Oryctolagus cuniculus: one gene and its partners. The protein of the gene in region 2 purifies or fractionates together with the protein of the main gene of each other region. This does not show direct contact. Links are inferred from orthologs where the notes say so. Each region holds a gene or a part of one and is shown on either strand. Other genes may lie near its edges. The genes, in order: SMARCB1, KPNA2 and POLR1E.

Region 1 (3,307 bases), on a different chromosome or scaffold from region 2:
GAGGGAGGACCTGTCAGCAGCCGGCAGTGGCACATAGCAGAGACCCATGCGCTGCCTCCAGATGCTTCCATCTTGCACACAAGGACACAAGGATGAGGGACCCCACTGGGGGAGAGCTAGGAGAAGACCCAGAGCTGTCTCTGCAGACAGCACATCAAGCCCAAGAGCCAGCAGCTGCCAGTCCTCCTCACTACAGACCCAGGGGAGAGGAGCCGGCCCAGGCCGCAGTGCCTGCCGGGTTGGAGAGGCCCCATCAGCCAGTTCTGGGTACACTGATGTTCCGGCAGTGCCACTCAGGTGCCCCTGGCCAGCTTCTCTTGATGGAGCAGAGACAGGGTGGCCCAGAGCTAGGAGAGCCCAAGGCTCCTTCCTAAGGCTGGCATGGGGGCGGGGTGTGGGGAGGAAGTTAGAAGGCCCAAGGAGAAGCAAGGATGGGCTCTGCCTCGGGCCACGTGGGGTGCTGAGGTGGCTTCCAGGGGAGCCCCCTAACCCCTGCTGTTCAGGTGGAATGGCCTGGCCGGCAGCCTCGGCCCTGCCCACTCTGCCCTTCTGAAGCACTGAACACCACGTGACCTGTTGCCTTTTATTTAAAAAGTGTTGCTAGCCCTGCCTGGGGCTCTCATACAAAAACAAAACACAACCTAAAACGAGGCTTCTTTCTGGCCCCAGACACTGGGGTAGGGGGCTAATGAGTGGGGAAACAGGACTGGGGCTCAGCAGATGCGAGGTATGGCTGGGAAGGGTGACCCAGGGGGTCCAGGCCCCTGCCCCATTCCTCCAGATGGCACCGGCTGTCCACTGCCCCTCTCCTGATCAGAAGAGGAAGGGGAGGGGTCCAATCTTCTGAGCTGCTTCGTGAAAGCTGAGCGCCAACAGGAGGGTCACCAGGCTGGGGCAGTGTTGGCCAGACGCCTCATCCGCCTGCGGGGGGAGGGGGGGGCAGGAGGGGAGCACGGTAAGCCAGGACCAATCCCAGCTGGCAAGGGTGGACGCCCAGCAGGACACCCCCAGCCCTCTCTGAGCCCCATGTCTCCAGGGACCCTGAGGCCTGGGTCTGACCTGAGAGTGTGGGTCACGGGGAAAGGAGACAGCCCTGCCTCCGCCTGGGAAGATGGGTGCCCCTGGGCAGGGCCGGGGCTGGTACCTCGTGTTCCTGTCCTGGTCGCGGATCTTCTTCTCCATCTCGGCGTCAGTCAAGGTCTCCAGCAGTGGGCACCACTGGTCAGCGTCGCCTGTGTTCCGGATGGCAATCTCCACTGTGGGCAGGGGGTTCTCGCTGGGGGAGGGGGGCAGTGACAGGAACAACTGCTAGTTCACAGCTGGCAGCCACAGTCCCCAGAAACCATCACCCCGCACCCCTCCAGCAGGCAGCCAGCCATGGAGGGAAGGCCTAGCTCTTCTGGCTTCAGCCTCCCCTGTGCTGGCCAGGGGATTCTGGCACAGCTGATGGGGCAGCCAGGGTAGCACCTATCCCCTGACCCTCAAGGGAGCTGCCAGAGTGGCCTGCAGCAACAGGGGCACTGGTACGGCCCTGCAGGCTTCCTTTTGGAGACCACTCTGCACACCTCAGCACCTCCCTGTCTGAGCGTGGAAGGGCTGTCCCGACACAGCAGCACAGAGCAGGGAGGTGCGGCTGCTCCACTCGGTGGCCAGGGCCAGATCCACTGACTGAGAACAGGAGGGGTGAGAGGAGGTGCTGGCCCCAGATGCCTGCTCCTGGGTATCCCACACACTTGCCCAGCAGTGCCACGGGGGCCACTCTACACCCCCAGGAAAGCTGGATCCAGAAACCACATTGCCTGGTCCCTCACAGACCGTTCCCTGGCCAAGTGCACACCCAGGGGGAAGTGCGGCTGAGCTGTCACCATTCTGGGCCTTGGTTTCTGAGAAACAGGAGGATAAGGAGGTGGACGCCACCGTGGACACTGAAGGGCCCCTGTGCCCTCTCCCCGGTGGCTCTGGTCTGAAAGGCAGAGCAGCTTCAGGTGCTAAGCACGCATCCTGGCTCGTGGTGCCTGCTTCATCAGGCGCCCCCCACCGCAGCCTCCCCTGGGCCCCTAGGAGGCTGCCCTGTAGACTGCAGCCCTACCAGGTGTCCCGTTAGCTTTGGGAGGGGCGAAGGTAGTAGGGCCCTAGGGAGAGGTCCCTGGCTGCTGCCTTGGTTTTCATCTGGGATATGGGAATAATAAGTATGGCTGCAAAGCAATGTTGGGGGTCACTATATTGACGCAGTCCACACACATCTGTTGAGGGCGCCCCCTAGAGGTGGGGCCTCGCCATACAGCCTCCCTGCAGCCTGTGCCCCAGGTCACCGCACCAGGTGGTCTATGGGCAGGGCCCGGCTCTTCACCACCTGGCCGGCAGGCACCAACACACTGGGGCCTGTTCCAGCCCAGCCAGAGAGGCTGGCCTGGTCTGTGCTGCTCTCTGTGGCCTGGGGGTGTCAGGGACAGTGAGCACAGGGCCTACTGCACATGTGTGCCTGACCGCTTCCTGCTGAAGCTCAGCCCACTGGGTCTGTGCCTAGGAGGCACAGAAGCCAGAGCTCATGCTGGTGACTCAGAGGCTGGGACGGGGCAGCGCCCACCCCTGACTCCCTTGGGGCTGACCCCTCCTCCGCAGCCTGGTTTGGCAATCCAGGAACGACCCAGCCACAAACCCCAAACATTACTCCCCACCTTGAGGGCGCCCAGCTGCCTGCCCCAGGAGGGCAGACATGAGAGGCGCCAAGCCCACGCAGAGGGGAGCAAAACATGTTTTCCTCGCAATTTACACAAGAGCTGGCGAGCAGGGCCCAGAGGCCCCTTTGTTTGCCTCCCCTTGACTCTGGGAAGATTCCACGTCAGCGGCCTGTTCTAAAATAAGAATGGCTCAAAACAACGCTCAGAACGGGCCTGCAGCCAGCACTCGCCGGCCTCAGGTTTGGGGGCCCACTCAGGCAGAGGCGCTGCCCTCATTTCCCAGTGATTCTAGGGGTGCAAGAGCACCCCTGCTGTGACTGCAGCTCACGGGCTATCTTCAGGTCACTGTCACTGTCAAGTTCATGACCTTGTGTGATGAACATGCAAGGCAAGAAGCACTAAGACTCCCCCTTAGAAATGAGAGAGCTAAGATTTCAAGGGAAGGGGCTGGCACTGTGGCATAGCAGGTAAAGCCACTGCCTGCAGCACTGGCATCCCACATAGGCGCAGGATCGAGTGCCGGCTGCTGCATTTCAAATCCAGTTCCCTGCTCATGGCCTAAGAAAGCAGGGGAGGATGGTCCAAGTCCTTGAGCCCCTGTACCCATGTGGGAGACTCAGAAGAAG
Region 2 (3,647 bases):
TGTCTTTTGCTGCTTTCCCAGACATGTTAGCAGGGAACTGGATTGAAAGCAGAAGCACCCAGGACTTGAACCAGCACTGCCATACAGGATGCTGGCATTGCAGTCTGTGACTCCAGTTGCTGTGTCACAATGCCTGTCCTCTTTTCATGTACTTTTTAAAAAGCATTCCAAAAGTCGTTGGAAGGAAAAGAAGAAATACTTAGACTATTAGAAAAGAAATATATTTGGATCCTTATCTCTCACAATAGATAGCTGTGTATTCATAACAGAAAGAATTAATAGTTTTTATAGCTTGACAGGATTTAGAAAAACAGAATGGTAAGTGATCACAGGCCAGGTATCCGCCCTCACTGTCAGCCGGGGAAGTGCGTGGCAGCAGCATAGACTCGTCCTGTTAGGTTGTCACACTGATGAAGGAGCCCTGCCAGGGATTTGGGGTGGGGGAGGGTGAGACAAGCTCCCTGGGGTCTCAGCACTTCAGGATTTACTTATCTGTCTCATGTTCTAAGCTCTTGAATTCAATTTTAAATTGGTTCACGTACACACTTATTTATCACCTTCACCTTGTATTTCTCTTTTTCTTCCCCTTAGGAAACTGCTTTCCAGGGAAAAACAGCCCCCTATAGACAACATAATCCGGGCTGGTTTGATTCCAAAATTTGTGTCCTTCTTGGGCAGAACTGATTGTAGCCCCATTCAGTTTGAATCTGCCTGGGCGCTCACTAACATTGCTTCTGGGACCTCAGAACAAACTAAGGCGGTGGTGGATGGAGGTGCCATCCCAGCATTCATTTCCCTGTTGGCATCTCCCCATGCTCACATCAGCGAACAAGCTGTATGGGCTCTAGGGAACATTGCAGGTACTTTTAACTTTTTGTTTTTTGAGGTTGGGAGAATGACCTTTGTTATGAGTAGTGGTGACCTTTGTGTCGAGTTTTAAGCTTGCTTCAGGCCCCTGTTAGGGATGAAGATGGCATCTAACAAAGGCACCAGAGGGCATCTCAGGGACTTTCCCATGGTGCAGTCAGCCACAGAACGCTGCTGGTGCTAGTCAAGGAGGTTTGCTCAGCTTTGCCCTTCTTCTTTCTGCAGGTGATGGTTCAGTTTTCCGAGATTTGGTTATCAAGTATGGTGCAATTGACCCACTGTTGGCTCTTCTGGCTGTTCCTGATATGTCCTCTTTGGCAGTAAGTTACCAGCATAGTGAAGTTTCTCACTTCTCATCTGCATGTCCCTCTACTTCCTCAAAAGACAGGATCTCTCATTGCTGTTTCCTTCTCCCCTAGTGCGGTTACTTACGTAATCTGACATGGACACTTTCAAACCTTTGTCGCAACAAGAATCCTGCACCCCCATTAGATGCCGTTGAGCAGATTCTTCCTACTTTAGTTCGTCTCCTGCATCACGATGATCCGGAAGTGTTAGCAGATACCTGCTGGGCGATTTCCTATCTCACTGATGGTCCAAATGAGCGGATTGAAATGGTTGTGAAGACAGGAGTTGTGCCGCAACTCGTGAAGCTTCTAGGAGCTAATGATTTGCCAATTGTGGTAAGTTGTTAACTTCAAGATTAGAATATAAAGTACAAGGGACACAATCGATAGTAAATATTGAAATACTGCCTATTTCAGGCCATAAAGAGCCTCTTGTCCAAATTTTTAGGGTACAGACATTTTGAGCAATTGGAAAAAAAAATAATCAGCATCAACATTGTTTTCCTTTTCAGACTCCTGCGCTAAGAGCCATAGGGAATATTGTCACAGGGACAGATGAACAGACACAGGTTGTGATAGATGCGGGAGCACTTGCCGTCTTTCCCAGCCTGCTGACTAACCCCAAAACTAACATCCAGAAGGAGGCCACGTGGACAATGTCAAACATCACAGCTGGGCGTCAGGACCAGATACAGCAAGTTGTGAATCACGGATTGGTCCCGTTCCTTGTTGGTGTTCTCTCTAAGGTATTAGAGATTTAATCATATGATTGCATTTACAGGCCAACATTTTTGTGGTTGGGTACTATTCATTGAGTTCATTGATAAATAATAACCAGTAATCCCTTTCCTTTAAGGTTGGATAGAGCCAGTTGGTTGTTTCAATCATTATTTCTGTAAAATGAAATTTTGGAATCTCATTTGTGTGACTGTTCTGAACTAAAACCAATTCCTTTTGTTTAATAGGCAGACTTTAAGACACAAAAAGAAGCAGTATGGGCTGTAACCAACTATACAAGTGGCGGAACAGTTGAACAGATTGTGTACCTTGTTCACTGTGGTATAATAGAACCGTTGATGAACCTCTTGACCGCAAAGGATACCAAAATTATTCTGGTTATTCTGGATGCCATTTCAAATATCTTCCAGGTAAGCCCTAACAGGGTGGCATTTGTTTGAATTTGGGCTTCATGGTGATTGATTTGCTGTGTCGACTAGGGAGGGCAGCTAGATGACTCATTAGTAGTCAGAACCAGCAAGGCCATTTATGTAAGCCAGGCTCCCTTCAGTGGTGCACTCCCCAATAAGCACAACCCCTGGGGCCCTGCCAGGAGCCAGACGTGCAATCCAGGTCTGCCAAGTGGGTGGCAGACAAGTACCCGATTACCTGAGCCATCACTGCTGCCTATCAGCATTAACTGGAAGCTGGAATCAGGAGGTGGAGCTAGGAACTGAATCCAGGCATTCTGAGGCAGGATGCAGGTATCCTAGCTACCAGTCTAAATGCCCTTTTTTTTTTTTTTTTTTTTAAGATTTTATTTATTTGAGAGACAAGAGTAACAAAGGGAGAGACAGAGAGGTCTTCTGTCTGCTGGTTCACTTCCCAGTTGGCAACAACGGCTGGAGCTGGGTTGATTGGGAGCCAGGAGCTTCTTCCTGGTCTCCCATGCGGGTGCAGAGGCCCAAGGACTTGGGACGTCTTCCACTGCTTTCCCAGACCATAGCAGAGAGCTGGATCGGAAGAGGAGCAGCCCAGACACAAACTGGCGCACACACCTGCCATCCCCTCCATCCGTAGCCACTAGTGTAGGCTCAGCCTATTGCGCCACAGCACTGACTCCTCTAAATGCCCATTCTACCACACTCTTCCTAGGGATTATAAGAGGCATGTAACAGGTGATTAATGAATGACACGACTTTAATTGAAGTCAAGTCTTGAAGTGAAAGCTATTCATACTACTTATTTTGTCAGGTATATTTAACCCCCCAATTTCATGCTAAATTTTGGTGAAATTAGCTATATTTTTCTCGTTTGACCTGAGGATGATTTAACCCTGCCGGCACATGGCATTTTGCCGTAGTGATTGGTACCAACTTCTAGATCTGGTTCTGGAAATTATTACATGTTGAAGCTGGATTCAGAATAAGGAAGGCTGGTGTCTATCGCCATCTGTAAATTATGAGTGACTGGTTCTCCCACCTTCTCTCATGTACCTGCTACATTGAGTTTCAAAAAAAATATAAAGTGGACATAAGACTATCATTAGGATTGTTAAAGAAACTGTTAATGTGCATTCCTGTCTGATATATGAAAGCTTTGATATGTGTATTTTCATTAAAATAGAACCATCAGAGAATAAACCAGTAAACTGGACCTTTCTTTTCTTTTAGGCTGCTGAGAAATTAGGTGAAACTGAGAAACTTAGTATAATGA
Region 3 (3,661 bases), on a different chromosome or scaffold from region 2:
CGCCATCCGCAGCAGCGCCATCCACATCATGCCAGTTCGAGCCCTGGCTGCTCCACTTCTGATCAAGCTCCCTGCTAATGGCCTGGGAAAGCAGTGGAGGATGGCTCAAGTGCTTGGGCCCCTGCACTCACCTGGGACACCCCAAAGAAGCGCCAGGCTCCTGGCTTTGACCTGGCCCAGCCCTGGCTGTTGAGGTCATTCAGGGAGTGAACTAGCAAATGGAAGATATCTCTCTCTCTCTCTCTCTCTCTCTTTTAAAAGATTTTATTTATTTATCTGAAAGAGTTACACAGAGAGAGGAGAGGCAGAGAGAGAGGTCTTCCATCTGATGGTTCACTCCCCAATTGGCCACAATAGCCGGAGCTGCGCTGATCGAAAGCCAGGAGTCAGGAGCTTCTTTCAGGTCTCCCATGCGGATGCAGGGCCCAAGGACTTGGGCCAACTTCTACTGCTTTCCCAGCCACAGCAGAGAGCTGGATCAGAAGTAGAGCAGCCAGGACTCGAATCGGCGCCCATATGGGATGCCAGCACTGCAGGCGGCAGCTTTACCCCCTATGCCACAAGCGCAGGCCTCTCTCCCCATCCCCTGTAATTTTGACTTTCAAATAAGTAAATGAATAAATCTTTTAAAAAAAGTTATAAATAAACAATGCGACAAATGCATATTTTAGGAAAACTCAGCAAATATAAATCATGCATTCGTTCCAAGAGAGCCCCAGGTACAAGCACACAGGCACCTGGCAAACCTCAATTTCTCCCACTGCCCCTAAAATAGACTAAAAACAGCAGTGTCAGTGCCGCACCACACCCTTCCCATCATCCTCCCCACACCATTACCTGCACAGAGTGTTACACTTGAGGGCTCCAGTCCCAAAATTGTTTCCCACGTAGGAAAGTCTCTCTGTTTCAGCTGCCTAAAACACAGGAGAAACCCCATTCATGACCAAGGCTGAGAGGCAGTGAGCATCTTGCCTCATTCTCACATCTGCCAAAGCTTTTAACCCAGAACCACAGTGGCTGAGATGATCCAGCCCCCCCGCCCCCAGCTCCAAGGTAATCTGGGGAAGTCCTGGGGAAAGGCAAGAGGGCTTTAGAAGCGGAAGCCACGGACAGCATCAGCTTCTAACGGGTATGAGACGTTCCTGGGGGCCTGCACCACAGGACAGGACGTAAGCAAGAGGCTCTAAATTTAAACTTGGCCTTCGAGCCCTGGGGAAGACACATTTGTCATGGCAGAAGAGACAGCCCATGCTCCACCTGCACCGCGCTGAGCGGGAGGAAGCCTTACGGGAAAGTTATGCGGCAGTGGCAGGACCTTCTGGCCCAGCCAGTAGGGGCTCTGGGCCAACCAGGCTCTGCATCCTCAGGGTAGCTGTCAAGAAGGGGGCGTGGTGACGGATGAGAAGGTTGCACTTGCCAGTGTGCAACCAAGCGATTCTGCAGGCTACCTCCTCGCCCAGAGTCTAAGCCCGCCTTGATCCTCTGCGCCCACCTCCCCCATGCCTGCTCTTTCTAAACCCTCAGGACCACAGCCACAGCTGACTCGCTCCCTGTAACCGCCAAGCCTTCCTGCTTCCGTTTTTGTCCTTGTTATCTGCTTCACATGGAACCCCAAATCTTGGCTGCCAAACCTTCCCTCCCCTTTCAGGGCTCAGCACTGAAGCACCCACCCCCAGAAGGGGCTTCTGGCAAGCCACTGAGCTCACTCCGCCCTGCACCCTCCCCACCGGGCCCAGAGCTCTGTCTAATGGATGCGTGTCCCGGCAGCCACTCCACACCTCTCTAGGGCACCATCCTGAGGCACAGGACTGCCAGCCACAGCCAGGCATGGCCTATCGGTGTACAGAGGCACCGAAGCCCTGCTCCACAGCACCAGTGGCGCCAGGTCGGAGGGGGCTGTTTCCCTAACTCACCGCACAGGGATGCAGTGCCTGTTCAATAACACATGCTGACAGGACACGTGAATGCACGCCCACCACGCCACCGGAAGTCCCAGAGCTGCGTGGAGCCTGTCCCCACGCCGCAAGCTGCTGGAGCCGGAGCTTTTCCAAAGGCCCCTAGCCATTTTCTCCTCTCCCATCCACCCACACCCCAGGGGCCTCCTAAGGCAGGCAGAGCGGGGCACTGGCAGCCGCAGCGCTTACCAGGATCCGCTGACTCCTCTTCCTGGGGTTTGCGGAGTCGCTGCTCTGGTACAAGGTGAAGCGCATGTTGCCCGGGTTCTGCAGCTTCCCGTTGGAGAATTGGACTGTAAGAGGACCGCCCGACAATGACCACGGTGCATGGTGGGAGGGAGCTACGGCTGGATGGGGCTGGCAAAGAAACGCGGGTAGCGTCCATCCGTCCAAGAAGAGGGGACAGGCTGGCGGGGCGAGCGGGGCGGGGGGCGGAGGCAGCTGAGACAAGAGGAAACGGCGGCGGGGATGAGGCTGACCCAGGGGCCTGGTCCAGACCTGGGGAGGGAGAATCCGCGCCCAGCGGAGAGAGGGAAAGGGGGCAGGTGGGAGACCTGGCGGGGGAGGGGAGGGCAGCGTCCCGGGCACCGCCCTGGGGAGGGGGCGATGGAGATGTCCTCATGCAGCTGGGAAGTACCGACAGAAAGGTTGCGGGATGCCCCTTGCCGAGTCCCAGGCAGCGGTGGAGACGCCAGGGGGCCCTGACGCATTGGGCGGGAAGGGAGACCTGGAGAGGTACCGAGACGGAAGGGGAGCCCCGCTCCAGCGCCGCAGTCCTCACCCAGTACAGCTTTCTGGCTCTCGTCGGGCTCCCCACAGTACAGCCACGTCGCACTCGGCAACACATCTGCGGCCATCCCGTCCGTCAGGCCGTCAAACCCAGGAGTTTCCACAACTGCCGACTCTGCAGCGACGGTCCTCACGCGGCTGCCGGGCTGAGCGGCGAACCGGAAGGGGCGTGGCCTCAGGGCACCGGCCGAGTACGCAGCCGTGCGTGGCACGCCCCCTGGAGGAGCCGCGTGAGCCCCGCCCGCCGTTAGCTCCGCCCCTTCTCATCCGTCACCACGCCCCCTTCTTGACAGCTACCCTGAGGATGCAGAGCCTGGTTGGCCCAGCGCTCCTTCTGGCTGGGCCAGAAGATCTTGCCACTGCCGCATAACTTTCCCGTAAGGCGGTGCAGGTGGAGCATGGGCTGTCTCTTCTACCATGACAAATGTGTCTTCCCCAGGGCTCGAAGGCCAAGTTTAAATTTAGAATCATCTGACAGGAATTTTTTGAGCCTCGGCTAAATGTGGCAGCTGACAGAGGGCCACCCCAACTCTGAGGTGAGGTGTCCCATACAAGACACGTGGCCGTGCAGCCCTTGAGACCAAGCATTGTCCAGAGCCCGGCAAGCATCTCGCTGCCTGGGTCTCACCTCAAAGCCAGATGTTCACCTGTGGCCTCTCAGCCTTGGGAGGATGGGCTGGGGGGAAAGGCCCACCAGGCTCAGGGCATTGGGGCAGAGGATTCTGGAGTGGTCTAGAAGGTGTAGTTTGTTTTTGTTTTTGTTTTTAAGATTTCTTATTTATTTGAAAGTCAGAGTTACACAGAGAGAGGAGAGGCAGAGAGAGGTCTTCCATCCAATGGTTCACTCCCCAGATGGCTGCAACGGAGGGAGCTGCATCAATCAGAAGCCAGGAGCTTCTTCCGGGTCTCCCATGCGG

The links.
Region 1: the proteins of KPNA2 (region 2) and SMARCB1 purify together in Homo sapiens (affinity purification with mass spectrometry; 3 studies listed by BioGRID and IntAct, with this or other methods). This does not show direct contact. The link is inferred for Oryctolagus cuniculus from reciprocal best matches to the Homo sapiens genes KPNA2 and SMARCB1.
Region 3: the proteins of KPNA2 (region 2) and POLR1E purify together in Homo sapiens (affinity purification with mass spectrometry; 3 studies listed by BioGRID and IntAct, with this or other methods). This does not show direct contact. The link is inferred for Oryctolagus cuniculus from reciprocal best matches to the Homo sapiens genes KPNA2 and POLR1E.

Annotation. Positions count from the first base shown.
Region 1 is NC_091452.1:30,766,706-30,770,012, reverse strand, and holds the end of SMARCB1 (SWI/SNF-related matrix-associated actin-dependent regulator of chromatin subfamily B member 1), read right to left. Parts: intron 1,277-3,307; coding exon 1,145-1,276; intron 922-1,144; coding exon 882-921; 3' UTR 570-881; downstream 1-569.
Region 2 is NC_091448.1:13,981,421-13,985,067, forward strand, and holds part of KPNA2 (importin subunit alpha-1), read left to right. Parts: intron 1-591; coding exon 592-860; intron 861-1,092; coding exon 1,093-1,187; intron 1,188-1,286; coding exon 1,287-1,550; intron 1,551-1,726; coding exon 1,727-1,960; intron 1,961-2,179; coding exon 2,180-2,362; intron 2,363-3,604; coding exon 3,605-3,647.
Region 3 is NC_091432.1:200,290,798-200,294,458, reverse strand, and holds the start of POLR1E (DNA-directed RNA polymerase I subunit RPA49), read right to left. Parts: upstream 2,935-3,661; 5' UTR 2,813-2,934; coding exon 2,737-2,812; intron 2,249-2,736; coding exon 2,145-2,248; intron 915-2,144; coding exon 838-914; intron 1-837. UniProt on the Homo sapiens protein: Component of RNA polymerase I (Pol I), a DNA-dependent RNA polymerase which synthesizes ribosomal RNA precursors using the four ribonucleoside triphosphates as substrates.